2 linked regions of the Pelodiscus sinensis genome follow. The protein of the gene in region 1 purifies or fractionates together with the protein of each later gene. This does not show direct contact. Links are inferred from orthologs where the notes say so. Each region holds a gene or a part of one and is shown in the gene's direction. Other genes may lie near its edges. The genes, in order: GNB5 and GNG2.

Region 1 (15,235 bases):
GTGGCCCAAATTTCAGAAAAAAACCCTCTTTTGGAAGATCCCTTCTTCCTCATGGAACAAAGAAGACAGGACTTCCAAAGGAGCGCCTCTGCTCTTCCGCAAAAAAAAAAAGCGGAAGAGCAAACATGTTCCCTGGACGTGGCAGAATTTTTTTGCGATACCTCCCCAGGGATATCCCAGCCCCAATGAAGTCAATGGCAAAACTCTGATGGACTACAGTGGGGCTAGGTTTTCACCCACTGGGTATTAACATCTCACTCCTTAGGTAGACCCACTGAAATAAATGGATCTGCTTCAGGAGGAAAGTGTGTCTCAATCTGAGCATGTGTGGCAAGATCAAGCCCTAAATATAAGAGAGAGGGATTTTAAATGCAAAATGAAACAACTAGCAAAACATAAGTTCACTTTCTTGGTCATATTTCTTTCTGGCCCTTGTAAAATACAGATTGAACCTCTCTAGTCTGGCACTCTTGGGACCTGACTGGTGCCAACCCAGAGCATTTGCTGAACTATGTGAGGTCAATATTGTCTTGCAGCATTACCAATGCTTCCACTGCTTAGTGGGCTCTTAGAAGATATTTAGGGGTAAATTAGAGCTAAATAACAGCACAGAACACTGGTGACTGTAAAGAAATTTTATGGGAAACTTGACCACACCCATGATAAGTGGACATCTGACTAACTAAAATCATGATAATCCATTAATGTTGCCAGACCAGAGAGTCCTGGACTAGAGAGGTTCAATCTAGCTTTAAAAAATAATCAACACTAATCTCATTGTGTCACATCTGTGTAACATTTTTTATTAGTTCACAATACTGAATCAGGGCTCTTTTTTTTTTTTTTTTTTTTAACTTGCCTAACATTTTCCTTGTCCCTTATTTTGCATAAGAATGTGCTAGGTATATCTCATTTTCCTTCCTTGAAAGCTGTAATTTTTTACTTGTTGAAAATGGGGAAAGGTCTTTAAACTTCAGTAACAGCAGTGACTCTGGCTCATGAACAAAAAATAGATTCAATATTTTCCAGCATCCTGAAATGCCAATTTCTGTGTAAACCATCTTGCTATTAATGGGGTTTTTTATAGCTACCGAGTGCATTCTGAACCTTCCCTTCAGTTTTTAAAATGGTTATGAACAGGACAGACAGCTTAAAATATATGGTGGAAAAACAATTTTTGTAAATGCGGAGTCCTTCTGAAGCTTAATCCGTTGTTACGTGTCATTTGATTATGATGGTTCTGTTGCCATTATCTAAGCCAAAACCCAGAATAAGACATTGCAATAGAAAAACATTCCATGCACTATGACAGAAGGATGCTCCTGTCTGTTTCCTCATAAATATATCACCCACAGGGCATGTGCAAGTGATGATTTATCAAGCTTTTGAGATAAGCTGCTGAGAGCTTATCCAGCCTACAGCTGTCTATATATTGTCTAAGATCCATTAGCTACTGAGAGAGTACAGGAAAGGTTTGTCATCTCACTGTCATGCACTCCCCCTTTCTCCTCTGTCTCTTTCAGGTCTCTCCCTCAGCAAAGATGTGTGACCAGACCTTTTTGGCAATTGTGTTTGGTCCTTGTGACAAGTGCTCTAAAGAGAAACCCCTCAGAACAATTTACATCAAATCAGAACAACTCAACTACTGTGCACTATGTGTGGAAATGGTATGTTACAGCCTTTGCCAGAATGAATGCAAAAGTAAATAATGTGACAAGGAGGGGTCAGATGAATTTGCAGAATTCAGTTAGATATTACTTGGATATGAAACTGAAACCACATAGGGTCCCTGCTCTACTCCAAATAAAAGCCCTAGATGGAGAGTACCCAATGACACTCTGAAGGGTAGAGACAAAGTCAACTTTTTGCTCCCTATTTGGAAAGTGGCTAGCTGCTTTTTCCCATATATGGTAAAAGATCACACACGCGATCTGTGCAAGTAAAAGTGCCTGACTAAATTCAGCCCTGGCATAATCATACACAGCTCCACTGAATGGATTACATGGGAATTACACCAGACCTCTATTTTGCCCATTAGCTTTAAAAAAAATAAACTCTGGATGAAACCCCATGAGGTTCTTGTAAAAAGCAGTTTCATAAGAGACCAGTAAATACAACTTTCTTAAATTATCACAATGAACCTGAATGTGATCCACAACCTGCCTGAACTTCTACATGATCCATAACCGATTAGCCATACTACTTTGCACAATGATCATTTCATTTCTCACAAGTTAGCCCGGTGCAAATGAGTTTCGTACTTGGATAGAGTATTCAAAGAAAGGGTATTGGAGAACTTATAGCCATGGGAATTAATTGTGAATTAAGGAGCACTGTGTAGTCAGAAGGCCCTGTCTTCTGCATAAATTTCAAAAGTGAGACCGTGAACATAGGAGCCCATTTACATCCCTATTCTTACCAAAAGGGTACTGTCACCATGGTGTCCTAGCCAAGTTCCACGGCAGATAATTCTGTTCTGCCTATCTGAATTCCCCATGTAGTATTAATTGGAGAAATTATTCTTCTTTGCTTGCTACCCTGTACTTGTGTAGTAGTGTTGAGCAATGTCATTTCAGTGGTGGGTACAAAGAACCTTGCAAGAATGCTGTGAGGCTTACTTAGCTATGTTTACAAAGCCTAGTCAGAGCTTTGGATCAGAATGAGACTGCTGAACCAGTAACTGAGTAAGATGCAGTGAACACAGCTTATCAGCTGAAACTTAGCACATTCTAATACACTAAAACTGGTGAAATAAGTGCATGTAGATATAATGGCTACAATGCAAACAACCTCTTCTCCTCCTCTCCATTTGCTTCTCTTGACTTTGAATATGCCACTTTATCTCAGTTGTACCTGGCCAACACTGTATAAATACCAGTTTACGCAGCAGATTTTTCTGACAACTTGATAGACTGCTGAAACTGCACCAGGAGACTGTTTTCCATATTAAGACTCTTGCAAATTTCTCTCTGCTGCTTATACCAGGGAAGGCAGTATCTTACTGTTTGGAGTTAGGCCATAATAGAGGTTATTAACTGGAAGCAAACTGATGCTTCAGTCAGCATTGCCTCAGCACATTGAATCTTCATAACACAGGGTATGTTAGGCCCCCTATTAAAATTGGAGAAAGATAATTGGTAACAGCAGCAGGACTTGCTGCATCTTGCTTATGCATATTTATTTTGCAATATAGGTTTTAATATCAATATTTATCATATATATAGCTCTGCATCTTCTAACTTCTGTATAAGCAATAAGTAATGAGCTAGGGAAAAGTGTAGGTTCATGGACAGGGAACATTAGTTAAAAAGAGATGAGGGGGCTGTTTTTTAAAAATGCCTGCTTTTTTGTACATGGAAAATATGCACAAACATTTAATTGTGCAATGCTACTTTGCAATGTATTAAGACTGCATAAAATCAGGAATTTGTGTGCATAACTGGCTAGTTTCATGTCAGTGGTCAATTCCATATGCAATTATCAGGTTTCAATATACAAAACAGTTAATTATACATACAAATACAAGACCCAATTGTTCCCATGGGATTTTAAAAATCCCATTCTATATGATTCTTCCAAAGCCATGCCATCAGTGGCAGATGCAGGATTACAGAATTTAGGAATTCCTGGTTTCCAACCATGTGTTCGGTTCATTAGGCCGATTGGCTTTTATGCTAGCTCACCCTTTATTTCTCAGGTCTTTCTTTACCCATCTAGTTTTGAAATGTATGGTAAGCACAAGATACCCCAAAGGGGTTGTGCATCATGTTTTTGCTTTTTTCATTCTTTTAGGATTATTCTATATCCAATCATTCATATTATTTATCATGACATAACTATTCAAAGTGAGCCACTGGCCAAACTGTTCCATGATGGAAGTACAAGTCCTGGTTCCATTGCTGAGTTTTGCATGTAAGGCAGAGATTCTGCCATGCTTACATATGAAGAATACAATGTATCCTCCCCCTAATTATAGCATTTTTCCTTTAAGTAGAGGATGAGTTTTCTGAGTATTTACAAGTAGAGCATTTTAATTTTATTTAAAATGTGCCCTTAAAGGTACTTAGCACCTGTCAGACCATTTCTTCCTACTGTCTCCCAAATGATTTTAACACAGACTTATCAGCCTCTCCATACTGTGCAGACTCATTAAGCATTTGCCGTAGTCGAAGACCTTTTTTTAGGCTTAATGATCCCCTCCCCAATATTCTTCATAACAGATTGTTCATTTTTCAGTAGAGTTGGATTAGCAGCAGGTTTTACAGAGAATTCCACACACATCACTGCCTTCTTTCACACTTCCTGCCATCGCCCATTGTTCTCCATTGGAATGGGGCCTACCTAGCTTCCATGATGGCAGCTTGGCTTCACCCTCATTGGGAACAACAGGAGGGAGCGTCCATTTTGCAGATGATATCTTTGTATCTACATTTCCACTGAGAACAATAGAAAATGGCAGCTGGGTGATGAACTCAGAGATGGAACTCTCTGTAAAGAACTCCATTTGTTAGCCTTCAAGTTCAATAACCTGCCTTCGGCAGCAGCTGGTTAGTTAATGCTTCTGAGGAGAGCAAATCAAACCCTTCTCCCCACAACAGACTTGATCAACTGTGTAATATTGAACATGAGCTTACAGACTGGCTTTGGTATTACTGCCTTTGTCTGTAAAGCTATCCAGGTCCCTTTTAAACTCTATTTGACTCTAGAAACTCTCACAACAGATGACCATGTGATTTGAAATCAATTTGAAAGGATTCTGAATTTGGATTTCAACACAAAGACATTGTGGCACTTTAACTGTTGCCCTTCCTATTTCAGACTAAACACTCCCACAGCAGAATGAATTCTGCAAACATAGGCTAATGACTTGCTTAATATTCATTATGGTAATGAATAATTAATTGCTAATGTATTATTTGTTAATGTTAAAAACACATTGACTCTAGCAGAGATGGGTCTATGGGAGGGAGAAACAAACTGCCAATTTAGACATTATTAACTAAAGTCTCATTTAGTAAATAATGTGGCTTTTTTGAAAAACTTTGACTCAACTGTATGTTCTCCTCTATATTTGTCAACCAAATCTGGTTTATTTTATGGCAAGCTGCAGAACAGCTCTTCTCTAACCTGTTTTTTTAGCCTCGCTAGTTGACAGCCCAACTTTTAATATCCCAGGGTTTGCTTGGGTCAGTTAAATTTTTCTCCTGGTTTCAGACTCACAAAAGATATGTTCCATTGTACTTAGTACTAGCCTGAGCTGTAGTTGATACAGTTCTACTTCCTACCCACCAGACAGAACTTGCTTTTCCCACTGGATGAGAGGTGAGCAATCCGTTAAGATGCAGCATGCTTCCACCTACATCTCAGGTCCAAAGAGTTCTGCCCATTCCCACCCACTAGTTCATTTTGAGGAGTACCACACTTACACCCCTTTTTCACCTTCCCACATTGGGACCCAATATTCTCTGCAACTTTCACTCACAGGAGTAATCCAAATGTAATCAATCTGGAATCTGCTATAAGCACTTTGAGACTGAACTGAATTGATGCTGTGAGACTTTGGCATCCGATGACTTTGATGCCCTCAGTGCTGATTTTCAGCTTCTCCCAGGAGAGACTCAGCTCTTTACAGGACATGAGTTTTAATTCCTGTACACAGGAGATCTACTTAGTCAGATAAGTAAGGCAGCATGGTGAAGCACTGATTTGGCATTTCTATGCCCACCATCTCAAATGCAAGCAATATCTCAGCTGCACTCCAGATTCTATTTTGTCCCCATAGAAGTCAGTAACAAAACTTCCATTCACTTCAGTGTGGCCAGGATTCTTTGGCCTTCAAAAGCTGGGCATCTGACATAGGGCAAATTCCTTTATTAAATGGAATTGATTCTCCAAACTCCTCTCCCAACCCACCCATTGCCTCACCAAGTCAAAAACAGTCACAGTCTTTAATTTCATATAAGCAGATTTAATTCTTCAGATACCAAAACAGCACAGGTTAGAACCTTCTTGTCACTTTCTTGCTTATTAGCAATAATGCATTTGTTCCTCTGACATCACTTTAAGAGTACTGCATTATCCAGTGAGTAGATACCAGTTAGGAAGTGGGTGAGTGCTGGAAACTATTTCCAAAATACCATTTATCCTGGGGAGAACAGAGTGCTGCATCCCCAGTCAGCATCTGTGCTAACTCTTGACGGCAGTTACACCTTGAGCATAGGGATGTAGAAGAGAAACTGCATGAGACAGAACCCAACTGTGTACTGCTGTTAAACACAATGAGACAGGGGCTTTATTTTCTCCTGGGGCCTCATACTTCATCCAGGATGTGCGCACAGACTAAAAAGCAGCTGTGCTTACTTCACATCTCACATTTCAATCCTGGACCTTCTCCAGATTGAACAATAGTCACTTAGTTTGTCCATTTTCTGCCTGAGAGACAATGGGAGTCAATATTAGATCAAGGCCAATTAACAAAAGCAGAAGAGGCTATTTTCAGGAAGCTCCTTTGCAGAAAGACTACAAAGCCCATTTACAGCTGTCCTCTGCAAAACAAACATAAATCAGTTACAGCCTCAATACATCAGAAGCATTTTCTCACACACATGCATAGGCCACAATTAAAGATGGTGCTGGGCAAAATAGTCACAATTACATCAAAATCAGGGATTTATTTGTTTTGTTTTGATTTTGCAAAACACCCATTTTATGGGGGGAGAGAATAATAAACACGTTTATTTTTGTGGCATGTAATAATCCTGATTGTTTTCAACCAAAGCATTTGACAAAGAAGGGGTAAGTATCAGGAGCGCCATTCCACCGAGACACAGAGAAGGGGATGGAGATTTCTCTCTGCTGCCTAAGAGATCTGGATTTCAGGGGGCCAAATCACCAATTCAGTTTTAAACATCTCAGCCCCGCTGTCCAAAGGTCGAGGGTTGGGGGGCTGGAGACCTTGCCAGGCCTGGTACCTTGATCTCTGGTCCTGTTTTTGAAGACAACCCTGTGAATTTTTAAAATCTCACTTGTGCCAGGTTCACGAGTTTCAGCAAACCCCACAAAAGCCTCTTGGCACCAGCCTGGGTGGGATGAAATCCCGGGGCTGAGAAACAGCCTGGCATGGAAACGCTCCTGGGGGAAGTGTCGGAGAGCCCCAGGGCTGGGCAGGGGCTTGAGCAGCAGCCAGCCCGGAGCCGAGGCACCTGCCTTTAGCCCAGGTGGTGCCAGCCCGTCGCTCCCTGCACGGCGCCCGGCGGGGGGGGGGGGGGGGGCGAGCAGGTGCTGAGGGCTGCACCCAGCAGCACGAGCCTGGCCGCGAACGTCAGCGCGCGGAGGGGAGGGGAGCCCCGCGCGGTTCCCAGGCTCGGGCGGCGGGAGCTGCGGCAGCATCCCTGCGAGCCGGGCCCGCCAACCCCTCCTCTCCCTGCCTCTCCCCGCCCGCCGCCTGCCGCGCCAAGATGGCAACCGAGGGGCTGCACGAGAGCGAGACCCTGGCGACGCTGAAGAGCGAGGCGGAGAGCCTGAAGGGCCGCCTGGAGGAGGAGCGGGCCAAGCTGCACGATGTGGAGCGTGAGTCGGGGGCAGCGGGAGGGCTGGGGCGCGGCCGGGCCGAGCGGAGCTGGTGCCTGGCCCGGGCCGGTGGCGGACCCCGGGCGCGTGGCCCTGCGGGGGGAGAGGGAGCGTGTCCTTTGCACCCCGTTCCCCGGCCCGGGTGGGGGGTGGCGCTGAGCCGTGCCCGGGCTGGCGGGGGAGGGGAGGAAGAGGCATTGCTATTGCTGCAGCTGCTCATTGGCTGCTGCTGTGATTCAGTAGCATCCCTGCGGGCGGCAGCAGCGGCCGGGGTGAAATCCCGGCCTTGGAGTCAGGGGGAGGTTTCCCTGCGCCTGCCTCTTGTCCAGTATTTCATCCCTGCGCGTGGCTCCCAAAATCCCAACCTGCTGTGCCCGGGTACCGCTCTAGGACTTCCCAGCCCTTCTGGGGGCCAGATAGCTAGCGAGTCCACTCCAAGCCAGCACTCCTACCAGGCTCCCTGGGCACTAGGCAAGACAGACACACATAGTCCTGCACAATGTGACACCCTTCGACTCTGCTTAACACAGAATAATGTTCAAAAGCTTCACGGAGTAGCCGAGTTAGTCTGTACAGGATAAACTTAAACAACAACAAATAATCTGGTAGCACCGTAAAGACTAACAAAATATGTAGAATCTGTAGATGATATCATGAGCTTTCATGAGCTGTGCCATCTGCATGTTTTGTTAGTCTTTAAGGTGCTACCAGACTATTTGTTGTTTTTTAAGTTTTTACAGAATAATGTGACCTTGTTGGCCTGAAATCCCAGAGATACGACACCTTATTTTTATTACCACTCATTCATTTAAAAAATGTTACACGTATAAATCGTCACATTTTTCTTGAAGTATACGGTTGATGTTACTAGTGGGGTTTTTGGTGGGCTTATTACAACTTTGTTCCTCCTGTTTCTGAAAAAGGGATACAGAACTGTATCTGCTGATTTATGTGATCACTATTTGTTACTCTCTGTAAATTTCAGATTTTTTAAAAAAATACACTTGTTTCTTTTCTGTCACACATGAGGCATTTTCTTGCCTAAATGTGATTATCATAGGTTTTGTCAGTATCCTATTAATAGGAATCATTGAACAGAGATGGCCTCCTCACAGAAACATTGCCATAATCAGTAGTCTTGCAGTATAATTGCTACAAGATAAGCAATAAGGCCTCAGTTCAGCAGACCACTTGAGCATATGCTTAAAACTGTCTCTATTTAATTATATATATGCTATTTCTTAACTTTAATTGTGCATACTCTAATTGTAAGTCTCATGATGTTTGTGGAACACTCTTTTCATGTTTACTTCATAGATCTGTAAATTAATGGGGTTTTTAGAACTTTTTTTTATGAAGGCTGTGTATGTTACCCAAGGTTTGATTTTCTTGACAAAGTCTGTGACTATTAGCATTTTTTCCCTTCATAGGAGGGTTTATTTTGGGTCTTTTTTCCCCTCCCCGGTGTGTTCACTCCTGAGCAAAACTCCTGTTTTTTTGTTTTTGTTTTTACATAGATTTGGGTCTATGTTGATGGCTCGTGGTCTTCCTGTGCTTTTAAACTATTTCCAACAGCTATCTCTATTGGGAAAATAAATAACTTCCCTTTTTATCTCTTAAAATTATGACTAACACTTTTGGTAATGACAAAACCATGATCCTTCCCCCCCCCCCCCCATTTTCCTCCAAAAGAAACTGCCTGCCTTAATAGCTTTTCTCTTCTTTGTTCAATTTTATTTTGAATTGTAGCTCTTTGAAAAATGTGAACAGACATCTGAAGCCTTTTTATTTGACTTGCAATCAGGAAAACTCTCAGGGTTAATTACAGTATTGAAAAGTTTGGATTAGAAATATGAACAATTATATTGTCTATGTGATTTATAGATTTTAGTGCCAGCAGGCACTTTTATAATCATCTAATCTGACATGACCTCTTTCCTCCCTCACATTACCTGCATAACAGAGGCAGAACCCAATAATTTCTGCATCAAGCCTCATAACTTCTGTTTAACTATAGCATACTTTATAGAAGGATATCCAGAGTAACTTGCAATATTCTGTGCTCAATCCTTCATCTTTATTTGCACAAACTACCTTTTGTGACTAGTCCTGGTTAGTGCATTAGAGCTATTCACCCGAGTCAGAGCTGCAAGGTCACACTCATAGTTTGCAATAGTGTCTTTAAAACTATTATAAATATTTTTAAAATTTGTATATGTCTGTGAAGTCTTTTTAGGGCTGCTATGAGTTTGCTTTGGTTTCAGAGTGTAGGATCAAACTTCTAAGAGAGTTATTTGTACTAAAGTAGGCAGTTCTGCAGACTCAGTGTTGCATTAACAGAAAGGAAACGTATGGCTAATGGCAGTAAGATGTGTTTTATTTGTTAAGCCCTGGACACTGGCATTTGAACCTAGCCTTGCAGCTCCCATAACAACCTCCAGCACTTGTATTCTGATTATAGTATTGCAGGATCTCAATAGAGCGTTTGATTGGCTTCACTTGATAATGGTGTGCAGGAGAGGATGTAATTTTTCAATAGGTTTAGCTGATGCTTTTTGGAAAGGCTGGTTTGCTTCTGACCCCTCACAAAGATCAATCTGTAATGGACGAATTGTCAGGAATAATGGGCAGCAATTTAGTTTCCTTGCTATGTGAGATTTAAGTCCCTTGTAAGGCTATGTTTGTAGCTAAGAGCATTATTTTCAGCCCCTGACCCAGTCTGCAAGGCTGATGATTATTGAAAAGCAGATCCATAAGAAATCAATATCAGATGTAGGCAGAAATTGCTCAGCTGACTGTGAGCCAAAGAGCCATCTTTGTAGAGTAAGGGTGCCCGTCCTACTGCTGTGACAGCCCTTCCCAGCTCATATGCTTTCTCACTGCTGCTTAAACAAAGGGCAAAGATTTTAGCTGTGAGTTTTCTGAAGTAATTCTAATTTAGGGCTTGATTCTAAAAGGTACTGAGTTACCCGCAGCTTTCATCAATGGCAATTACATCTACCCAGAGCATTCACTCATCACCAATGGGATTGACCCAGCACTCAAGCTCCAAGTCACTTGAGCTAAAAAAATCTAAAGTCCAGATACAATTGTGTTGTTATCAATGGGAGTCTTCCCACTGATTCTAGTATGAGTGCAGTAGAAACATCTGATTGACTGATATAGGCAACCCACTAGCAAGTGACATGTGGCATCCATTGAATCACACCAGCGTGTCTCTGGATCAGGTCCTCTTTAATCTCTGGGGCTATGTCTACACTGCAGGCTTCTTGCACAAGAACTTTTTGCAGAAGATCTTCTGCAAAAAGTTCTTGCACAAGAGCCCGTCCACACTGCCATGTGTTTTTGCGCAAGAGAGTGTCCGCACTGCTATGGACACTCTTGCACAAGAACGCTCTGATGGTCATTCACAGACTGGCCATCAGAGCACCTGTGCTTTATCCGATAGGGGTTTCTAGCGCAAGAAACCCTTGTTGTCCATCAGCATGTGCCTTTTTGCACAAGAGCTCTTGCACAAACAGGCTTATTCCTCATAGAAAGAGGAATAACTCTTCTGACAATCTACTGTACTTTTTTCTTGTGTAAAAACGCACTTGTAGTGTGGACGCTCTGTGAGTTTTAGATGTAGCCTCTGCAGTGTAGATGTAGCCTGAATCTGGCTATAAGGCTGATTTAGAGCACACAGACTCCTATAACTCCTAGTCTAGCCTATAGCTTAGTGGTCTCCAACCTTTGTAAGCATGAGATCGCTTTTTGAATTTCAGTACAATCCAAGATCTACCTTAGACCCAAACATGCTTGCCCCGGCTTCTTCCTACCCTTCTCCAAGGCCCTGGCCCTGCTCACTCCATCCTTCCTCCCTCCCTCCCCCATCCTCACTCACTTTTATCAGGCTGGGGGCAGAGGGCTGAGGATCTGGGGAGGGGATGCAGATGCTGATCTTGGGCTAAAGGTTTTGGAATGTGGGAAGGGTTCTGAGCTGAGGTAGTTGAGTAGCAGGGGGGTTCAAGGTGCTGGCTCTGGGAGGGAGTTTGGGTGTAGGGGGACTCAGGGCTAGGGCAGAGGTTTGGGGTGGAGGAGGGGTTCAGGACTGGACCTGGGATTTGGAATGTGGGCTCCAGCTGGGCACCGCTTACCATGGGTGGCTTCTGGGTGGTGGTACTGGGGACTAAGGCAGGCTCACACCTACTCCCAAAAGCAGCCAGCAAACTCTCTCCATACCTGCCCCTTCCCGCTTTGTGGAGATGGGGTACAGGATGGGGGAAGGGCAGGGGCACCTCAAGGCAGAGGGCAGAAGCAGCATGGCAGTGCTGAGAGGGGCAGATGAAGTGTCTGCACTTGACAGCCTCCCGGCCAAACCTGTCAGAATCACCTGTCAGAGGCTCCAAGATCTACCAGTAGATCCCGATCTACTGGTTGGTGACCACTGCTGTAGCTCACGTAGCAGCCCCATTCCCTCCAGGCTCCTTGCAAAATGTTTTAATGCTGGTAAAGCCACTAGATCCTCATAAATGCAGATACAATGTCCCCCTCTTACTGTGGTTTTCTAGGGCCAGCCCAGATTCCTTTTGCTCCTGTATGAAAGAAGCAATTTTGTATGTCTTTACTGAGCTCTTGCTAGAATGAACATCACAGAAACAAATTAGACTTCTCAACTAATGCCCCCCGCTGCCATTCATCGGGGACAGTTACAACATGAGGTTTTAGGGGTGCAAAATGGCTTTGCACAGTGCCATGAGTGGGGTGGATTTCACAGTGAGGTGCCTTTGCATATGCATTGTTACAGCCACGTCCTGTTGGAAATCTGAACTTATTTATAGAAACCCCAGCTGGAAAGAAATAACTTAAAACGTGAGAACTCAAGCTGGAAGATTTTACTTCAGATTCTCCAGAATGAATAGAAACTGATCCATAAAGCCATGTATTTTTAGAAATAAACCCTTGCTATTCTCCAGACACAAGTGAAGTGAAAAGGCTTTGTTGTTTGTTACATTGAGGCAGGTTAATGTCATAAGATATGACGCTATTAAAAAAACTGCTCAGCCACTCAGCTTATGCAAGGGCACGTATGGCAGCTGGCACACACGCTGCCTGTGGCTGCCAGTGTGAATTCCGAGTGCAGATCAAACCTGTGATGGAAGTCCAGTACTTATATCACCTTTAGGTCAGAGCTGCCGCATTAAAATGTCCTCTCATTGCTAGGGCTGAAGTTATTTTTAAAAAGAAGCATTTTATAACATTGAAAGGACTTTAGAACCACAACAATCATTTGAGACAAAACACTGTATTAAAAAGTAAGAGCTGCAAAATTTTATGATTGCATATAGTATTTCAGTTAAAAAAATTATCAACAAATGTAAAAAGTCCTAAATAATGTAAATGAATTTTTGGTACATAAACACATTCACAACCTTCCTCTCCCCCCAGTGAACAAAACCTGGTATGCCAGATGGTTTGATTAGATGACATTCTCTAAGGAGTCTTCTGTTTTTAATAGCAATGCTTCTGTGAAGAATACTATACTATACACGTGGTTAGATATGCTTCAAGTGATCCTTTAGCGTCTGATCTTGCAAACACTCACATGACTAACAACTCACCTGTATAGACTCATTGTGCTTCTTGGAATGACTCACATGAGCAAAAGTCACTCCTGAGTTACAGTATCAGTGTTTGGAGGACCAGGGTTTTAATACAGAGCAAACATTTGGTGAGTCTCTTTATGGCTAATTCTCCACAGTTCATCAGGTGGCCGAACGTGTGGAAGCACTAGGTCAATTCGTGATGAAGACCAGGAGAACTCTGAAAGGCCATGGCAATAAAGTCCTCTGCATGGACTGGTGCAAAGATAAAAGACGAATTGTGAGCTCTTCCCAGGTGAGTTATTTGAAGTCCATGATAGCCAGGCACAATTCTTATAGCTACACTAGGTAACATAAATTGGAAATAATACCTATGGTTAGTCTAAAAGCTTTTATGATGCCTAAAGCATTCTTTTAGTAACATTTGTTCAGAAATCATAAACCAGACTACTGAATAAAGAATATAATTCTGGTAAGCATTAACACACCTATTGAAGGTGATACTTTAAAGACCCTTCTTCCATTTTTCATGCAGAATTTTTCCAGTGTCCACAGTCATTTAGCACACAATATTACAATGAGCTGGTTTGAGATCAGATGCCTCTTATTTTTTATGGACACTCAATATGCAGCACACTCTCATTTGGAAAGAAAGAATTGGAATGAGGAAATCTGAAAACATTTTGATTCTACTAGAGAGGTCTCAATGTGATCTGTGAACATGAAATCCTTTTTGTGGTCTGGAAGATTGATGGGACCTTAAAGAAACACTCAGCCAGCTAGAACTACTACAAATATTTGGACATTTTGAGAAACAGTTTGCAAGTCTGTTCAAGATCAGTCTTATGTTCAGGGGGATGGGAGACGTATTGAGATAAATGCCTGTCACTGGTTCACATTCTGAATGGTAATGGCTGAAACTTGTTACATCTGACAGCTGTTTTCTGGCCTTTCTGAAATGAGTTGCTGTCTCAATCTAGTGCCTACAGGATAGAATAGGATATCTGCATCACAAAACCACCATGAGAATTACTGCTGTCTGACACCATTCTTGGATGTCTCAGCCAGGAGACCAAAGATTGAACAGTTAGTAATCTATTTTTTTTTGAAGTGGTGAAGTCTCTGTGTGTAGGTCTGAAAGCAAAAAAGAGAGGCTTATTCCACTTTAAAAATGTATCCTGAAAAAATGTTTCTGTGAACCTGCTTGGGGTTTTAGGTACTGTATTAGCATTACAGGAAAGTGAAGTTTGTTTTCTGTTTGATGACACTTGCATAATTTCACTTTGCATTTTTTAAACTTCTATTTTAAGAATTTAATGAGTCCAGGGAAATAAAAATAGCTGGTTGCAAACAAAATTCACTTTTTCCCAGTCTGGAATGTTAAAGGATATTATGCCAGTCCACAAGATAAGATGATTATGTAGCATGCTATTGATTGCATGTTCATTCTTATTGTTAGGTTACTTGGGTAATTAAAGGTTAATTAAGAGTAGCAGTAGAGAAAAAGAAGGGAGTAGAGGAAGGATGGAATGGGGAAAAGCAGATAAACAGAGTGATGCGAGGAGCAGATGTAACTGCTCATTTGTAGAAGAAAAGAATGAATACAAATTTATTCAGATGGTTGTTTCTTGAGAAGATCAAGATCCCCATGGTAAGTCTGAGGACAGCTCCTTTAAGGCTACATCTATCCTGTGAGCTGAGAGTCCCTCGCTGACCACAGGCTCCATCCTGCGCTGCCACTTTAAAATGCCATGCGGAGCCCAGGGTCAGCTGGAGTATTCCCAGCTGACCCTGAGCTCCGCACAGCTGCTGCTTTGAAACACCGAGGTGGCGTTTCAAAGGGACAGTACCGCACAGCTGATCCCATACAGAGCTCTGTGTAGCACTGCCCCTTTGAAACGCCGAGGTGTTTCAAAGGGACAGCGCCGCAAGGGGCTGACCCCAGGCTCCATGCAGTGCTGCTTTGAAATGTATCAAAGTGTTCCAAAGTGGCAGTGCTGCACGGAGCTTGGTATGGGCTCCATGTGGTGCTGCTGCTTTGAAGTATCTTCTCTTCCTCCCCCCTCTTGCTCCCTCTATCTGAT
Region 2 (15,981 bases), on another chromosome or scaffold:
TGCCGTGCTGTGCTGGATCAGCTGATCGTCGGCACTGCGGCGGCCATGTTTATTTTAATGAAGCGGGGATTTTTTAAATCCCCACTTCTTTGCCTATGCTGGGTAAGCTAGTTTACATGGCTCCGTCAACAGAGCCATGTAGTCTAGACACACCCATACAGAATGGGAAGTGACTGTCTAGGAAGGAGTACGGCAGAAAGGGATCTAGGGGTCATAGTGGACCACAAGCTAAATATGAGTCAACAGTGTGATGCTGCTGCAAAAAAAGCAAACATGCATTAACAGGTGTGTTGTGATCAAGACACAAGAAGTCATTCTTCTGCTCTACTCTGCGCTGGTTAGGCCTCAGTTGGAATACTGTGTCCAGTTCTCGGCACCACATTTCAAGAAAGATGTGGAGAAATTGGAGAGGGTCCAGAGAAGAGCAACGAGAATCATCAAAGGTCTAGAGAACATGACCTATGAAGGAAGGTGAAAGAATTGGGTTTGTTTAGTTTAGAAAAGAGAAGACTGAGGGGGGACATGATAGCAGTTTTCAGGTATCTAAAAGGGCGTCATAAGGAGGAGGGAGAAAACTTGTTCATCTTGGCCTCTGAGGATAGAACAAGAAGCAATGGGCTTAAACTGCAGCAAGGGAAGTTTAGGTTGGACATTAGGAAAAAGTTCCTCACTGTCAGGGTAGTTAAACATTGGAATAAATTGCCCAGGGAGGTTGTGGAATCTCCATTTCTGGAGATATTTAAGAGTCAGTTAGATAAATGTCTGTCAGGGATGGTCTAGCCCAATGATCCCCAACGCGGTGCCTGCTGGCGCCATGGTGCCCGCCAGGCCATTTCTGTGCGCCCGCCGAGTGATCAGGGCCAGCCCCACCCCCAGGGCACGTGGTGAATGGGCAGTGCCGGCCCCTGGGTGCGCAACGTATGGGTGGCCCCGCCCCCGGGTGCATGGCGCAAGGGCTGTGCTGGCCCCGGCCCCGCCCCCAGGCACGCGGTACATATGCTGTGCCAGCTCTGGGCACGTGGCGTATGTGCATCCTTGTCCCTGGGCATGCAGCACAGGAGCAGCACAGGCCCCAGGGGTGCGGCACAGGCGTGGCGCTGGCCCTGGGTGCGCGGCGCATGGGCGTCCCTGCCCCTGGGCACACAGGCAGGAGCAGCGCCGGCCCCAGGCGCGCAGCGCGTGGGTGATACCAGCTCCTGGGCGTGCGGCACAGGAGCGGTGCTGGCCCTGGGAGTGCAGTGCATGGGTGGCACCAGCACTGGGCACGCAGCATATGGGTGGCCCCGCCCCCGGGTGCCTGGCAGCCCCAAAAGGTTAGGGACCACTGGTCTAGCCAGTACTTGGTCCTGCCATGAGGACAGGGGACAGGACTTGATTACCTCTTCCAGTTCTAGTATTCGATGATTCTATGAAATGCAACAAGTCTAAAGTCAGCCTCTTCTCAGTTGGTACTGGGTCCTGCAGCAATACTGGGGATAGTATATAAGGGCTTGTCCTCCTGCTTCAGAAGTGCAAGCCCTTCCCTCCTGAGCTAATGGAGAGTCGCCATTAGCTGCTGGCAATAGAGGGTCTATGACACAGATGAGCTATGTGCATCTGCAATGACTATCAGCTAAAACTTGTGAACCCTTTCAACTGTAATGCACAATCGGATGAAAGGAAAAAACCACAAGAAACATGCTGGCTATGAATAAGGTGGGTGTCCAAGGCTTCCAGTCTGGTGGAATCAGTCCCCCAAAACAAAAAGGCATCTGTGCAATTGTCCTGTCATCCGTCCAATATGCCTAGCAAAGATATTTCCCCCTGCCTCGCCTATCCAGGCTCCTCATCATCCCCAAAAAGGACCCCGCCTCCTTACTTGGACAGAGAGAGATTGACAATGAAAATGTGTTTTTCCTTCTTGCGAATGAGGGAAAATAGGTTTGATAACAGGGGTTTGGAGAGTTTTTGTGGGGGCTTTTTGTTCGTGATTTTTTTTTTAATTACTGCCGGCTTTGTGTTGCACAAAAGCTGACCTCATCCATTGCATTTGCATGGCAACATAGGAAATCAGTCATTCAGGGTTGCCATGGTAACCAGAGGGGAAACCCATGTTATCACCGTCCATTGCCTCCTTTCCAGGAAACGTGCAGAAATTCTAGACAAATGCAAGAAGCACACAGGGCGGGGAGTTGCAAGTTCTTGCGAAATGCCCTGGCGAGACAAGCTGATTGTAGCATGTGTTTCTGCAGAGTTAAAGGCGCTTCTCCTAAGCCAGCGGTTCTCAGCGTGGCCTGTGCACCACTCGTGGGCTGCGACCATCTTGCAGGTGGGCCATGGGCTCAGGGCTTCTCTCCCCCACCCCGGGCAGAAAGCCTGTGCTGATGCTCCAGCCCCAGGCCCCCCTGGCCCTCATGAGGTTGAAGTGCCAACGTCGGCTTCCTGCTCCGGGGGAGAGGGTGGTGAGCCTTGCGGCCTGGATCCGGCTTGCAGAAGAAGGAAGCAACACTATGTGCTGTCCCTCCCCCACCCCCAGTTAGGGCAACAGCACCACAGGAAACCACTCGCCTGCTGCTCCCATTGGCCAGAATCATGGCCAATGGGAGCAGCGGGGTGGGTGGGTCTGGGTAGGAGGCACAGAGCCAGGTCAGTGCTCCCTAACCCCCTCCCTCCCAGACCCTCCACCCCTCCTCCTGCACCCAGTCTGTCATCACGAGGGGTTGGCTGGGTGGTCTGCGTTGAGCGGGGTGGGCCGTGGGCCAACAAATTTGAGAAGCAGTGTCCTAAACCCACAATGCACTCCCAGGCCCATGCGAATACACTGTCACAATGTTTGGCACGGAATTGAAAAGGTTTCCCTTTCAGGCTCAGGCAAAGCCATAGAGTGCAAAAGTCGTAGCACCAGTGGGCAGCAGATCTAGACTACAAAAGCAATCTGCCTGGCTGCTGTACGTTGTCCTAGTGCCATGGACTTCAACGGCACTACCCTGATTTACACAAGTTCCACATACGGTCCTGCGAGCATTAAGGGGAGAAAAATCTTTTCTATTTAACCAACTGAAAAATCAGCCCCCAAACACACTGCTCCTTGGTTCTGGGCTGCTACAGGAGGTCTGTTTGCTGGCATATACGAATTTCCAGAAATCGTAGCAGGGGGAAGGGAAGTCTTGTGGTTAACAAGATGGAGAGGGAGTCCATCTGGGTTCCATTTATTGTCTCTTCTCCTTCTGTTCCTTTGTGCATGCTACTCAGTGCTTAATTTGTGCCAGGGCTTGCCAGGGCTCCGTACCACCCGGCTCACGGCACCCCACTCCAGCCCTTGGCATGCCATGTAGCTCTCCAGCAGCGATTTCTTGGGCTCCAGGCTCCACATGCCATCACTGCTACAATAGCAGCACCGGGACCCCTGGGGCCTCTTTGAATCCTCGGGCACCAGGGTAATTGCCCCCCATTGGCAGGCCTGGCACCTCTAGGCGGGGCAGTTCACAACGCCAGCACCTCTGAGTTCACCCTGTCAGTTATGAAAGTGAAAAAAAAATTCCTTGAGCCCCGGCACCTCTTTCATTACAAATTGAGCCCTGACATTACGTATCCTCCCTCTCTGTAAGAGGGGGGTGGATAATACTCATCCACTTCCATGCTGCTTAATGACCCTTGGACCATTAAGCTTGTGAAGTGCTTTGAGTTGCCTAAGTGAAAAAGCTCTGTCCAAAAAGCAAAGCCTTGCCATTACTTCATTACGCCTGCATTCTGTTAATAAAGTGCACGGCTTGTAAAGTGCAGGCTGTCATTATGGACGGGCGTGGCCGGAGCATCTGATCAGGACTCCATTGTACGAAGTCCTGCATGATTACGGGTAGGGAACAGCTTCCGTCCGAGGCGAGATGAAAAAGACTGGGACTGTCCAGCTTAGCAAACAGGACGGAGATGAAATGAATAGGCAGCAGGTTTAAAACGGACAAAAGCAAGTGCTTCACACAACACACTGCCAACCTGTGGAACTCATTGCCAGGGGACTTTGTGAAGGCCAAAAGTATAACTGGGTTCGAGAAAGAATTAAGTTCAGGTCCAGCAATGTCTATTAGCCAAGACAATCAGAGAAGCTACCCCCATGCTCAGGCTACCGGAAGCCGGGGCTGCATCACTCAATAATTGCCCTGTTCTGCTCATTCTCTCTCAGGTGTCTGGCATTGGCAACGGTCAGCAGATGGGCTATTAGGCTAGATGAACAGTTGGTCTAACCCATTTTTCTGTTCAGATAAAAGAAGGAATCGCTTCCTCAAAGAGCTCTGGTGCTGGCAAAAAGGCCTGTGGTCTCCCACACTCTTGGGGGCTCGTCAGTTGAAGATGGCAAATCCTCATATAATTCCTGCTCTTTACAATTTTTTCTGCTTCTCAGAAACACAAGCAGCTCCTTTGAGCCAAGCCGGTGAGCCCATTCAAATAGTATATTACTAAAAGATTTCCCAGGTGTTGCCCAGGTCTGGCCCGGGGGCTGGGGAGGGATGGCCTGAGGGGGCCAGCCTGGGGTTGGGGGGACCACGGAAGCCTCTTGCTGGCAATCTGTAGGCCTGGGCCTGGAGTTTGGCTGCACAGGCCTTCCAGCATGGCCATACCACACAGCCCCGTCGGTAGGGGAGTCGGGGGGGCTGCATCGCCCAGCCCCAGTGGTGCTCCGGGAAGTGGCATGGCGGTAGGGCTGGGGAGACTTCTCCTCCCCCTCCCCGGGGCGGTGTTATGGGCAAGGACCAGGAGGAAAGCGTTTGGGAAGCGGAGCCGCTTTCCTGGGCCAGTGGTTTCTCTTCCTGGTGGGGCTGTCCCCCAGTAGTAAGTCTGCCCCCTCCCCGCCCCACTCGCTGCTGCCATTGGTGACTGTGCAGTCTCACGTCCCTCCGATGAGCCCTCTTCCTTTCCATGATAGGGAAAACAATCGAATTCCAGGCATGTCCCATTTTCCTGCCACAACCAAACTCTGGCCTCATTGCATTTCAAATTTGGTGGTGCTAGCTCTTACCATTGAGGAGAGGTTCTTGACCAATTGGACTCACAGAGAGAGAGATTATAAAGCAGCAACATGTCAAATGCCACCTTATTCCACAGAGATTCTTGCTTCGCAGCCCACAAGGCACATCTCCACTGCAGCTAGAGGCGAGCTGCCCAGCCAGGACATTCAGACTAGCAGAGCCCAAGCTAACGCATTGAAAACTTGCAGAAGCTCAGGCTGGCCACCCATGCTTGGACCCACCCAGTCCCTGGACGAGCCGGTATTTGGAGGCTCAGATTAGCACTGCCAGACTCCTGAAAAAAATCAAACCATTGTACATGGGCATATAAGGCCTTTCCTTCCACCTTCCACTGGATATACTTTTCTGCAGCGAACAACTGTAGAATTATTTTACTCGCTTTGTGCCTGTGATTTTGCAGGTGCAAATAATTATCCTGCTGTACCATTTAGGTTATTTAGACTTTTAAATAGTGGATTTGTAGGTGTAATCAGGTGCTGACAGCTAAATGAGCTAAATTGTGTCTGTGGGTATTTTTAGGTGCTAATACTTGGTGCAAAAAAAAGAAGCCATCTTAAAAGAAAAAAAAGCCAGCAACAAAAATTCTCAGATGCGGCTCCCGACTTGCTTGGATCTGGCCCCTGAGGCTTTGGGTATGTCCCCCCCTCCCCTGCCAGGATTAGGGAGCCAGTGCTGGCACTCTACACCCCCCCACCCCCACTGTTCCCCCATGTAGCTGAAGCACACAGAATCTACTAGCCTTCCCCCCCCCCCCCCAAGGCTCCGGTATGGAAGGAAAGTGCAGGAAGCATCTTTTTTTCTCCATCTCAGTCAGTGGGTTTGGGGGTTGGTTTTGGTTTTTGGTTTTTTTGCTTCTCACTTGTAGGCACCCCCCAACTGATTTTTCTGTGAGTCAGCAACCCCTCCCCCCCAGTCCTAAAATGTTTCTCCACCCCAGTATTCAAGTGGACACCTTCATAAATGTTAGTGCTCAAGGCGATGCAGTGAACTGGGGAGATTTGGCTTCTATTCCCAGCTCAGCAACTGCTCTGCTGGGAGAAGGAGATGGGGACAAACCTGCCTGGCCTGTAGTTACCTCACCACGGAGGAGTTACCGCTTGGTTTGGAAATGTTTGCCTGGAAGCAAAAGCCTTTGATCAGCTCCCACAGGCCGTGGGTAGGTTGGTAGATTAGAGGTAGCAAAGCATGGATAGAAATTGCAGGGACGGGGGGAGATGTGGGACAGCGGTGAGTGAAGGACGTGGGGAATGGTTAGGCAGGGTGACTGTAGGGCGGGGCGAGTTGGGGACGTGGGTGGCAGCAGGTAGAGGACTGGCAGCGTGTCCGTAGGGAACCAGTGCAGGGAACCGAGGAGGTAGCAGAGTGGGTAGGGCATCAGGGGCTACCAGGAGGGGGGAAGCGGTGTGTGTAGAGGGGGTGGGGACAGCAGAGAGGGCAGGACTATCGCCAGCAGGGTGGCGGTAGCAGAGTGGGTAGAGGATGTGGAGAGCCAAAGGGGTGCAGTGTGAGGCATAGGCTGAGGCCAGGGAGCAGAAGGGAGTAATGGGAGTGTTCTGAGGTGGGAAGACATGGGGGGAGGAGGCTCAGCTGGGGAGTCATCCATGGGGAGGTTGTGGAGGATTCTGAGGGGGCATCTGTGGGTCAGAGGGGGGGTTCTGGAGCAAGGCGACATATGTGGGGCAGTGGGGAGTATCCGTGGGTCAAAGGAGGCATTGGGGGATTCTGGGGCAGGGGGAGACATTAATGGGGCAGAGTGGGGCTGTGGGTGGGTGGTTTCTGGGGCAAAGGGACATCTGAGGGATAGAGGGGACAGTGGAGGAGTATCCATGGGGCAGAGAGGACAGTGGGGGGTATCTGTGAGGTGGAGGGGACAGTGTGGAGGTTTCTGTGGTGGAGGGAGCAGTGGGAGAGGGTATCCGTGGGGCAGAGGGGGTTCTGGGGCAGATGGACATCCATGGGGCAGTGGGGGAGGGTATCCGTGGGGTTCTGGGGCAAGGGACATCAGTTCGGGGTATCCATGGGGCAGATGAGGCAGTGGGGGGGGTCTCCATGGGGCGGACAGTGGGGGGTAATCCACGGGGCAGTGGGGGGTCTTCGTGGGATGGACGGGGCAGTAGGGGAGGGACATCCATGGGGCAGCGGGGGTTCTGGGGCAAGGGACATCAGTGGTGGGTCTCCATGGGGTGGAGGGATAAAAGGGGGTCTCTGTGGGGCAGAAGGGACAGTGGGGATTCTGGAGGGGCATCCATGGGGCAGCGGGGGGGGGGATCTCCGTAGAGGGGACAGGGCAGTGGGGGTTCTGGAGGGACAGTCGTGGGGTAGTGGGGGGTCTCTGTAGGGCAGAAGGGGCAGTGGGGATTCAGGAGGGACATCCATGGGGCAGTGTGTGGGGGGGTCTCCGTGGGGAGGACGGGGCAGTGGTTTCTGGAAGGACATGCTTGGGGGTAGTGGAGGTTCTGGGGCAAGGGACATAAGTAAGGGGTCTCCGTGGGGTGGAAGGACAAGGGGGGGTCTCCGTGAGACAGACGGGGCAGTGGGGGGTCTGGAGGGACATCCGTGGGGCAGTGGGGGAGGGTATCTGTGGGGCATAGGGCAGTGGGGGGTCTCCGTGGGGCGGATGGGGCAGTGGGGAGATCTCCATGAGGCAGCGGGGGGTCTCTGTGGGGTGGAGGGCAGTGAGGGGTCTCCGTGGGGCAGAGGGGCAGTGGGGATTCTGAAGGGGTCTCCGTGGGGCGGATGGGGAAGTGGGGGGTCTCCGTGGGGCAGATGGGGCAGTGGGGGGGTCTCTGTGGGGCAGTGGGGGGGCCTCCGTAGGGCAGATGGGGCAGTGGGGGGGTCTCCGTGGGGCAGACGGGGCAGTGGGGAGTCTCCGTGGGGCAGACGGAGCAGTGGGGGGGGGGTCTCCGTGGGGCAGACGGAGCAGTGGGGGGGGGTCTCCGTGGGGCGGCGGGCGAGACCCTGGCGCTGGGGGCAGGTCGCGCGGGCGGGGCTGTCAGGGCACGGGGGCGGGGGCGGGGGCGGGGGGGGCGCTGTGGGGGCTCGGGGGCGGGGCGGGCGGGGCTGTGGGAGGGGCCCGGGGGCGGGGGGCGCTGTGGGGACCCGGGGGCGGGGGGGGCGCTGTGGGGAGGGCCCGGGGGCGGGGCGGGGGGGACGCTGTGGGGGGGGGCCCGGGGGCGGGCGGGGCGGGGGACGCTGTCGGGGCCCGGGGGCGGGGCGGGGGGGCGCTGTGGGGGGGGCCCGCGGGCGGGGCGGGGGGGCGCTGTGGGGGGGGCCCGCGGGCGGGGCGGGGGGGGCGCTGTCAGGGCCCGGGGGCGGGCGCTGTGGGGGGGGGGCCGGGGGCGGGCGGGGCGGGGGGACTGTGGGGGGGGCCCGGGGGCGGGGCGGGGGGCGCTGTGGGGGGGGCCCGGGAGCGGGGGGGCTGTGGGAGGGGCCCGGGGGCGGGGCGGGGGGCGCTGTGGGGGGGGCCCGGGGGCGGGCGGGGCGGGGGCTGTGGGGGGGGCCCGGGGGCGGGGCGGGGGGCGCTGTGGGGGGGGCCCGGGGGCGGGCGGGGCGGGGGCTGTGGGGGGGGCCCGGGGGCGGGGGGGCTGTCGGGGGGCCCGAGGGCGGGGCGGGGGGCTGTGGGGGGGGCCCGGGGGCGGGGCGGGGGCTGTGGGGGGGGCTGTCGGGGGGCCCGGGGGCGGGGCGGGGGGGCTGTGGGGGGGGCCCGGGGGCGGGCGGGGCGGGCCGGCGAGCGGCGCGGAGCCGGGGCGGAGGAAGTCGGAGCCGCGCCGCTTCCTGTGCCCGGAGGATGAGCGCAGACAAAGCGGGGTGGGGACGCCGCTCCCAGGGCTGCCGCTGAGCCCGCCGCGCCCCGAGCGAGCAGGTAACAGCCCCGGCCAGAGCCCCGGGCGCGCCCAGGCGGGCTGCTCCGTGCAAGCGCCGCTCACCAGCGGGTTCACAAGCGGGTTCACAAGCGCGGCTCACCAGCGTGCCCGGGGGCCAGCGCTGCGCGTGAGAGCCGGGCTGCACGGGGCTGGGGTCGGGGCCGCCGGGGAAGGAGTCGCTGGCCGTGCCCGCCCGGCTGCGATGGCCACGGAGCCGGCAGACTGGCCGGGGGTTGCCGGTGGTTTGCGAGCCAAGGCGGAGCACGGACTCGGTGGAAGCGGGGCGCGCGTGGCTCTCCGTGCAAATGCTCCGCTGGTGCACGGATTTCCGTGTTGTGCCTCCTCGCCCTCGAGGCGGCCCGGGTGGCACCCAGCCTGGCGGGGGAAAGGTGGGGCAGCCCGAGGAGAAGTGCCCGTGGGCTCTGAGCAGAAAGGTGGCCAGAATGCAAAAGGCGTCCGCGTAATTCCTTTCCTAGAGCACTTGCAGGGGAGCGGGTCCGTTTTAATGTGTCTTCTGCTCCCCTTCCCAGTGCCATTCACAACCCGGAATACAGGGAAGGGATTGTCTTGAGAATTCAGATTGTGAAAACAAATAGATGGGGGTGGGGGTGGGGGGTTAAAGATTGTCAGTAAAATGGGATCTTTCCAAAGAGGGCCCTCTCCTCCACAAAGGTTTGATTTAGAATTGCTGATCCTCCCTGAATCAACTCATTTGCCATGGTAGGAAAAGCTTTTTCTTGCATGAATGAGGTCTAGTGTTCCTTTTATTTATTTATTTTGGAAATGGATGGAATTTTCATTTAACTGAAATTAATCCTGCCCCCCCCCAGTCATGATTGTATAGACCTTTATCATATTGCCCCTTAGTCCTCTTTTTTTCAAGTTGAAAAGTCCCAGTCTTATTAATTCATCTCATATGGCAGCTGCTCCATATCCCTAATCATTACATTTATCAAGGTAATGTTGGTAAATGTAAAGTAATTGCATATTGGAAAACATAATCCCAACTATACATATACATATTGCATTTGCTTAGCCATTCCATACCCCCTAATCATTGCATTTATCATCCATCAATGGCTATTAGCCAGGATGGGTAGGAACGGTGTCCCTAGCCGCTGTTTGTCAGAAGCTGGGAATGGGTGATGGGACAGATCTCTTGATGATTCCCTGTTCTGTTCATTCCCTTTAGAGTACCTGGCATTTGCCACTGTTGGGAAACAGGATAACTCAGTAGATGGACCTTTGGTCTGACTCAGTATGGCCAGTCTTACGTTCTCTCCAAAATAGCATAAAATCAAACTCAAGAATTTCAGTCGTACGTAAACGTCTAATTCCCAAGCTCTTTGGTTTAGTATCTTTTGACCCCTTAGTTAAAGTTACCATTGTATACCAAAGATGGACTACCAAAGTATTATCCACACCCTTTCTCCACCTCCTCATGTAGTAGCAGTTGGACAAAGCAAAAAAGAGCATCTGTATAAAAGCTGTGAGTTCAGACTGTTATTTTTCAAAACACATTTTTTTTAACGGGATTTTACAGGAAGTACTGGTGATCTGTAACCATTTAATGAGGGCTAACATGGCAAAGGAGTATTTTTTTGTACATTGCTGTTAGAAGTAAATGCAAAATTATAAATGATATGCAGGTGGAAAAAATGAACTTGGGGAAACTTAATTTTCTGTATTTGTTTTTCAAAGAGTCAAATTGATGAAGCAAAATCCCTTGAAACATGAGCCTTTTTAGCTACATTGATTGAAAATGGATTTATAGGTAAACAAAAATCCCCATCTCTTCCTCCTTTTACTCCCAAGGTATGATTAAAGTTAGAGAATGATAAACTAAAAGGTAATGATCCTTAACATGCATGACAAAAGTAATTGTCATACTGTGATACCTATTGTCTGTAGTTGTTTAAAATTCAGTTTATTGTTCCCATATTTTATTGAAGGATCCAGAGACCGGCATAAAGCTGTATTTTGTTTTGTTTTTTTCCTGGCCAACTCCCAGTCAGGACCCTCCCACTGCTATCCCGAAGACAACACAGAACCACAGCTTGTAGTTCTGCTCAGTAAACAAACCTCTTAGTTGTCAGATAGCTTGGGCCAAAAGATGAACCTGTATTTTGGTGCAGTATAAGGAAAAAGGTTGCTATGTGTACTGGCAGCATCATGTGTGCAGTGCAATAATGGGGCTTCTGTTTATAGTTTGACTGTATTTAACTGGATTTCACTGACTACATTTTGAGACTGAAATTTTAATCCTCTTTTCTGCCATATGGCCAGTGGATGAAATGAAATATAACTCAATTAATTATCCCATAGAAAGCACTCGGGTGAAGTGTGTGTGTGTGTGTGTGAATTGCCTTCCACTCATGGAATATGTGGCGTGTTAGAAGCATTTGGAGCAAAAGCCTGTCTCTAATAGTGTCAAAGAGCCACGCGGATAGTCGTGATCAGTTTAATTTTAAGGCAGTGCTCTGAATGCAGGCCCATGTGCTGTTGAAGCACATTCACAAGGATTATAATAGGCCTTTTCTAATACACCGCCAATCTTTTGCTGAACTGAATAATGCTATCATCACAGCGTTGCAGTGGGTACCGTCCGTTCCTTACCCCATTGTTCCCCATGAATATCGACATACATCAGTACCACCAGCCTGCTGAACAGTTCTGTAAATGCCCCCGTCGTGGTACTGTTTGGACGAGATCCCTCCCCACCCCCCTGTAACTGAGAAGGGATAAAATGTTAGTTATTTTATTTTCTTTTGTTACGTTTCCAACTTCAACTCCCCCTTTTTCAAAAGATGGACTTAAAGAGTTCTGTGTCGGCTCGAAAGCTTCTCTCTTTCAGCAACAAAAGTTGGTCCAATAAGAGAGATTCTCTCACCTTGTTGTGCTAATCTCCTGGGACAGATATGGCCACACAACACTGCAGACTACATAAGGCGTCCTGTCTACATACTAAATATACTTTTTCCGCTCATTGCAGTATTTAGTTACTGTACCATGAGCCTATCAGAAACAAGTGTGGAACCAATGAGTATTTCTGGAATGGGGGATCAGGTCACATAACATCCTCCCCCCGTGTCCTGTTGGTTCTTTAATATATCTTTTACCCTTGCACAAATGCATTTTTCTGCTGTGTCGCAGGACGGAAGAAAGAGCAGGCCTGATTTAGAGAGGGCATTCTGGGTATCAGGGCCATTGGGGAATGTAGTGCAGGATTGGAAGGAGGATACAAAGTGGCACATCAATGCCTGGGTGCAGGATAGTGCAAAACAAGGCTGGAGAGCTAGGGAGAAGCTAGGCTGTGCAGAGCCTTGGTGAGGAATTTGAATTTGATGCGGAATGATCTCTTTTCTCAACTGGGGCTGCTAAATGCTTTTAAATGCTGCATTAGGAAGGTTTCTAAGCAGCATCCAGCAAGGACTTGGCTGGCCCTGTGAGTTTCTTGCTGGGCTGTTTCTCTCCAAAGCACGCTTCGTGCCGCGGTGCTTTTCCATCCCAGTTATTCCCGTGGCTGAACGTTTAGGCTGCTTTACCTGTGGGAATTGCAGTGTGTAGCTTCTGCTGATGTTGGCCAATGGGGCGCTTCATTTCCACTCTCCTGCAACTTTGCCCCCGTCCGTGATGGGGAGGTGTCGTCGGGCAGTGCACAGGAGGGGGAGAAATATTTTTGGCCATGTCTCTTTCAGTTTGAGAAGAGTTCCCCTACCTCCTTTGGGGCAGTAGGTGTGCTGTAGCACCCTCAGTTGTACATGACAATCATACAGAAGGTGGTATGGTATAAGTCAGTGTTTCTCAACTTTTTTTTTATAATAAAGTACCCCTTTTTCAAAACAAAAAAGTACCCCCAGTACCTACAGTTTTCAGACACACAATTTTTTTTCTACAATTGCAACACGTTTGTTGGAACAACTTAATTGTAGCTGGGTGGGCGATGAAATTTTTGGGTGTAAAAAGTACAAAAATAATAAAACTTAAAACAAAAATTCAGTTTTCTCCAAATTTCAGTTGTTGACATGCCCTCCCCCCACCCCGACTTCTCTCGATTACCCCTGAGGGTACTCGTCCCACTGGTCGAGAAACACTGGCATAAGAAGGTCTCTTGAGAAGAAGTGATGAACAGAGCTACTATCACCAGAAAACATGGAACTGTAAGCTATACAGAATCGGGCAAAAAAAGGTCTTGGATTTTGCTGCCCACAACTTGGGAACTCCTCTTGGAATGCGGGCGAGCTGGAGTAGGCGTGTGTGTCTGGACTGGTCCCTCTAGGGAATCTCAGCAGCACTGTGCTTACCCTCTGCTCCCCCCGGGGCTGGCAATTTATTCAGAGCATATTGAGACTGGCTCTCCAGATGCAGAATCAACTCACCTGAGATCTTGGCGTGAGCAAACGTTGCCCTAGTGGGCTCCCGTTCAGCGAGTCGGGGCGCCTCTTCCCCGTGCCAGCTGGAAGCTCTGGGGAGGGCAGGGCTTGTTAATGAAAACCTAGACAGTGCCTGTAAAATACAGGTCGGATCAGACGGGGTCGCACGTAAAGTGCTGCTCTGTCTGAGGCTGTCTGCAGAGACGTGCGTTGACGGGAACCTTGGGAGCTCCTTTGGCTGCCCATTCCAGCTGTGCGGCTCGCCGCAGCTGGGCTCAGCCTGCCCCCGCGCGTCCGTCTGGGTGCCTTCGCCGACAGGTTTGCCAGACGTTTCTTGGACCGCACGAGGAGGCGTTGGCTCGAAATTGGATTCCGCTTTCAGGGAAAGTTCTAACCCTAGTTTCCTCCCTGCTGTTCAGTGTGTCTGCACTTCCTGGTGGCACAGCGCTGCGTCAGGGGTGGGGAGGGGGGGAGTGACGATGCAAGGCGCCCGTACAATCTCGCCGTTTTCTGGAGGACGAGTCAGGTTCTGCGCTCGTTTACACGCCCATGCTACCTGATTGAAGTGACCCCGAGCCATGCTCTGTGCGTAGCTTCATCGCCGCACAGTGGCCAAAACCTGGCAAATCTCTCCCCTAGAGGGGAATCCTGGGGTCTAGAATGACTGTAGCTACTTTTATGCTGATGACTGTGCACACCCAGCGGCCAGCCTCGGATGTGTCCCAAAATAAAGGGGGAACGGACAGGCCTCCACTTCCCTCCAGTGATCGCTAGTTGTCGTAATGGCTCCTTGGGTCCTGCCCACTGGGACGGGTTAGAGTAGCCTAACCCGTAGTAAGAGAGACTGACCTCGTGAAGAGCAGCCCATGTTTCCGCAAGCCCCCTTTGCAGGCTTTGGACAAGCCCAGGCAAGATGGGACATGAGGGGCCAGATCCTACCCGCCTAACGCTTTGATCCAGCCTGCACACGGCATCTGGCTGTTTTCTCATTATATCCTGCAGCTGGTGTCACCGAATTTCCAGGAGGAGGCTCAGAGCAGGATCCTATATAAATGGCTCACAGGCGTGGTGCTACCCTGGCAGGAGACAGAGCTGCGAGCCCTTTAAATAGCCGCAGTAACCCTGGGTGGCTTCCAGGCAATGAGATAGTCCTGGGCCAGGGGCAGGGAGCCCTTTGTTGTGTTATTAATTCAAAGCCTCCAGCCCCAGACAAGTCTGGGGGAAGATTAGTCCCTTGGCCCCGCCCCTTCCATCCCAGGCCCCGCCCATTCTGGAATGTGGCGGGTAGAGCCAGTCCATGACCACGTACCAAAATTCATTGTGGCCCTTCTGCAAAAATTATTGCCCACCCCTAGCTTAGGGTCTAGCTCGGTGCCTTTATCTGCTTGGTCTTTGGCCATTAAGATGGTTTACCAGGATGTGTAAGCAGAATTCATAGACTCACAGAATACTAGGACTGGAAGGGACCTCGAGAGGTCACCGAGTCCAGTCCCCTGCCCTCATGGCAGGACCAAATACTGTCTAGACCATCCCTGCTAGACATTTATCTAACCTGCTCTTAAATATCTCCAGAGATGGAGACTCCACAACCTCCCTGGGCAATTTATTCCAGTGTTTGACTAAATGCACCTGGGCTTTTGTTTGCGAATGGTTTGTCTAGAACGAGCCACCTAGTTTGCTGCCAAAACAAGACTGATGTCAAAGATGTGGAAGATGTAATGCAGAGGGTGGATAGCAAGAAGCATTCGCCATTTCAGCTGGATTTAGGCTAGGGTGACGTTCTGGTCCTGTTTTGGAAGGTGATGGGGCTAGGCCATGGGCGATGAAAGGTCTGTCTGTTTTTCTGGTGAGCTCTACATCATACGTGGATGTGAAGTCACTTAAGACCAGCGTGCCTTTCCATAGCGTGTATCTAGGTGAATGAGTCATGATTTTTACTCCGTATTTCCTTATTTGCCAAGAAAATCTGCTTTCTGTAGATGACAGCTGCTGACTGGCCTTGAGTCTTGTTAGCTAGGACAATAATTGGCAGGTGCATAGGAGAACAGCTGACTCCAGCCTTGGGGAAGATAGACTCAGAAGCGAGTGAAATAGACTAAGTGCTGGGTGCACAGAGCTGTGAGCTTCCACCAAGCAGTGCTGCAGAGAGGCTGGTGAGAGCCAGAGTGGGCATAAGGAGAGCCAAGAGGCCTGGAGGATGCTCCTTTGCTTGCTGTGAGGGGTTGTCAGGGCTACTGAGGCCATAAGCAGTAGAAAGTGGCCTTTTAACAACCAGAGATGGCCCATGGAAGATTTGCTCTGCATAGGGGATCTCTGCTTGCCAAGAGCTGGAGTCAGTGCGGCTGGGTTTGAGGGGGGGGGGGAGATGTTTGCATCCCCTTCATGCCTCATGCTTGGGGGAACAAGGGGATTGTTTTGGGAGTAGGGAGGAAAACTCTTCTACGCCTGGTCCTCCACTGGCGTAAGTTAGAGCTGCTGCCTTGCAATTTTCATTAGTGCCTAGGCCAGGATTAGAGAACTGTAATTGGTTCCTTCTGGGTTCCTCCTCTCCATAGCTGAGTTTGGGCAGAGCGATGAATCTTCCCCCTCCCGTTAGGATCCCCTGCATTGTATTCTCTAATCTAGTAGCTAGCATAATGTTAGTGCTTCTCTTGATTGTTTAGGCCTTTCTTTTAAAATATGACCATGAAATCACAAATGCTTCCCAACCGAAGCAAATATGTTCCCTCTCTCCAATTGAGG

What was found.
Region 2: the proteins of GNB5 (region 1) and GNG2 purify together in Homo sapiens (affinity purification with western blotting; 4 studies listed by BioGRID and IntAct, with this or other methods). This does not show direct contact. The link is inferred for Pelodiscus sinensis from reciprocal best matches to the Homo sapiens genes GNB5 and GNG2.

What each region holds. Positions count from the first base shown.
Region 1 is NC_134724.1:25,287,443-25,302,677, reverse strand, and holds the start of GNB5 (guanine nucleotide-binding protein subunit beta-5), read left to right. Parts: upstream 1-7,200; 5' UTR 7,201-7,457; coding exon 7,458-7,569; intron 7,570-13,309; coding exon 13,310-13,446; intron 13,447-15,235. UniProt on the Homo sapiens protein: Enhances GTPase-activating protein (GAP) activity of regulator of G protein signaling (RGS) proteins, such as RGS7 and RGS9, hence involved in the termination of the signaling initiated by the G protein coupled receptors (GPCRs) by accelerating the GTP hydrolysis on the G-alpha subunits, thereby promoting their inactivation.
Region 2 is NC_134714.1:7,148,171-7,164,151, forward strand, and holds the start of GNG2 (guanine nucleotide-binding protein G(I)/G(S)/G(O) subunit gamma-2), read left to right. Parts: upstream 1-8,710; 5' UTR 8,711-8,865; intron 8,866-15,981. UniProt on the Homo sapiens protein: Guanine nucleotide-binding proteins (G proteins) are involved as a modulator or transducer in various transmembrane signaling systems.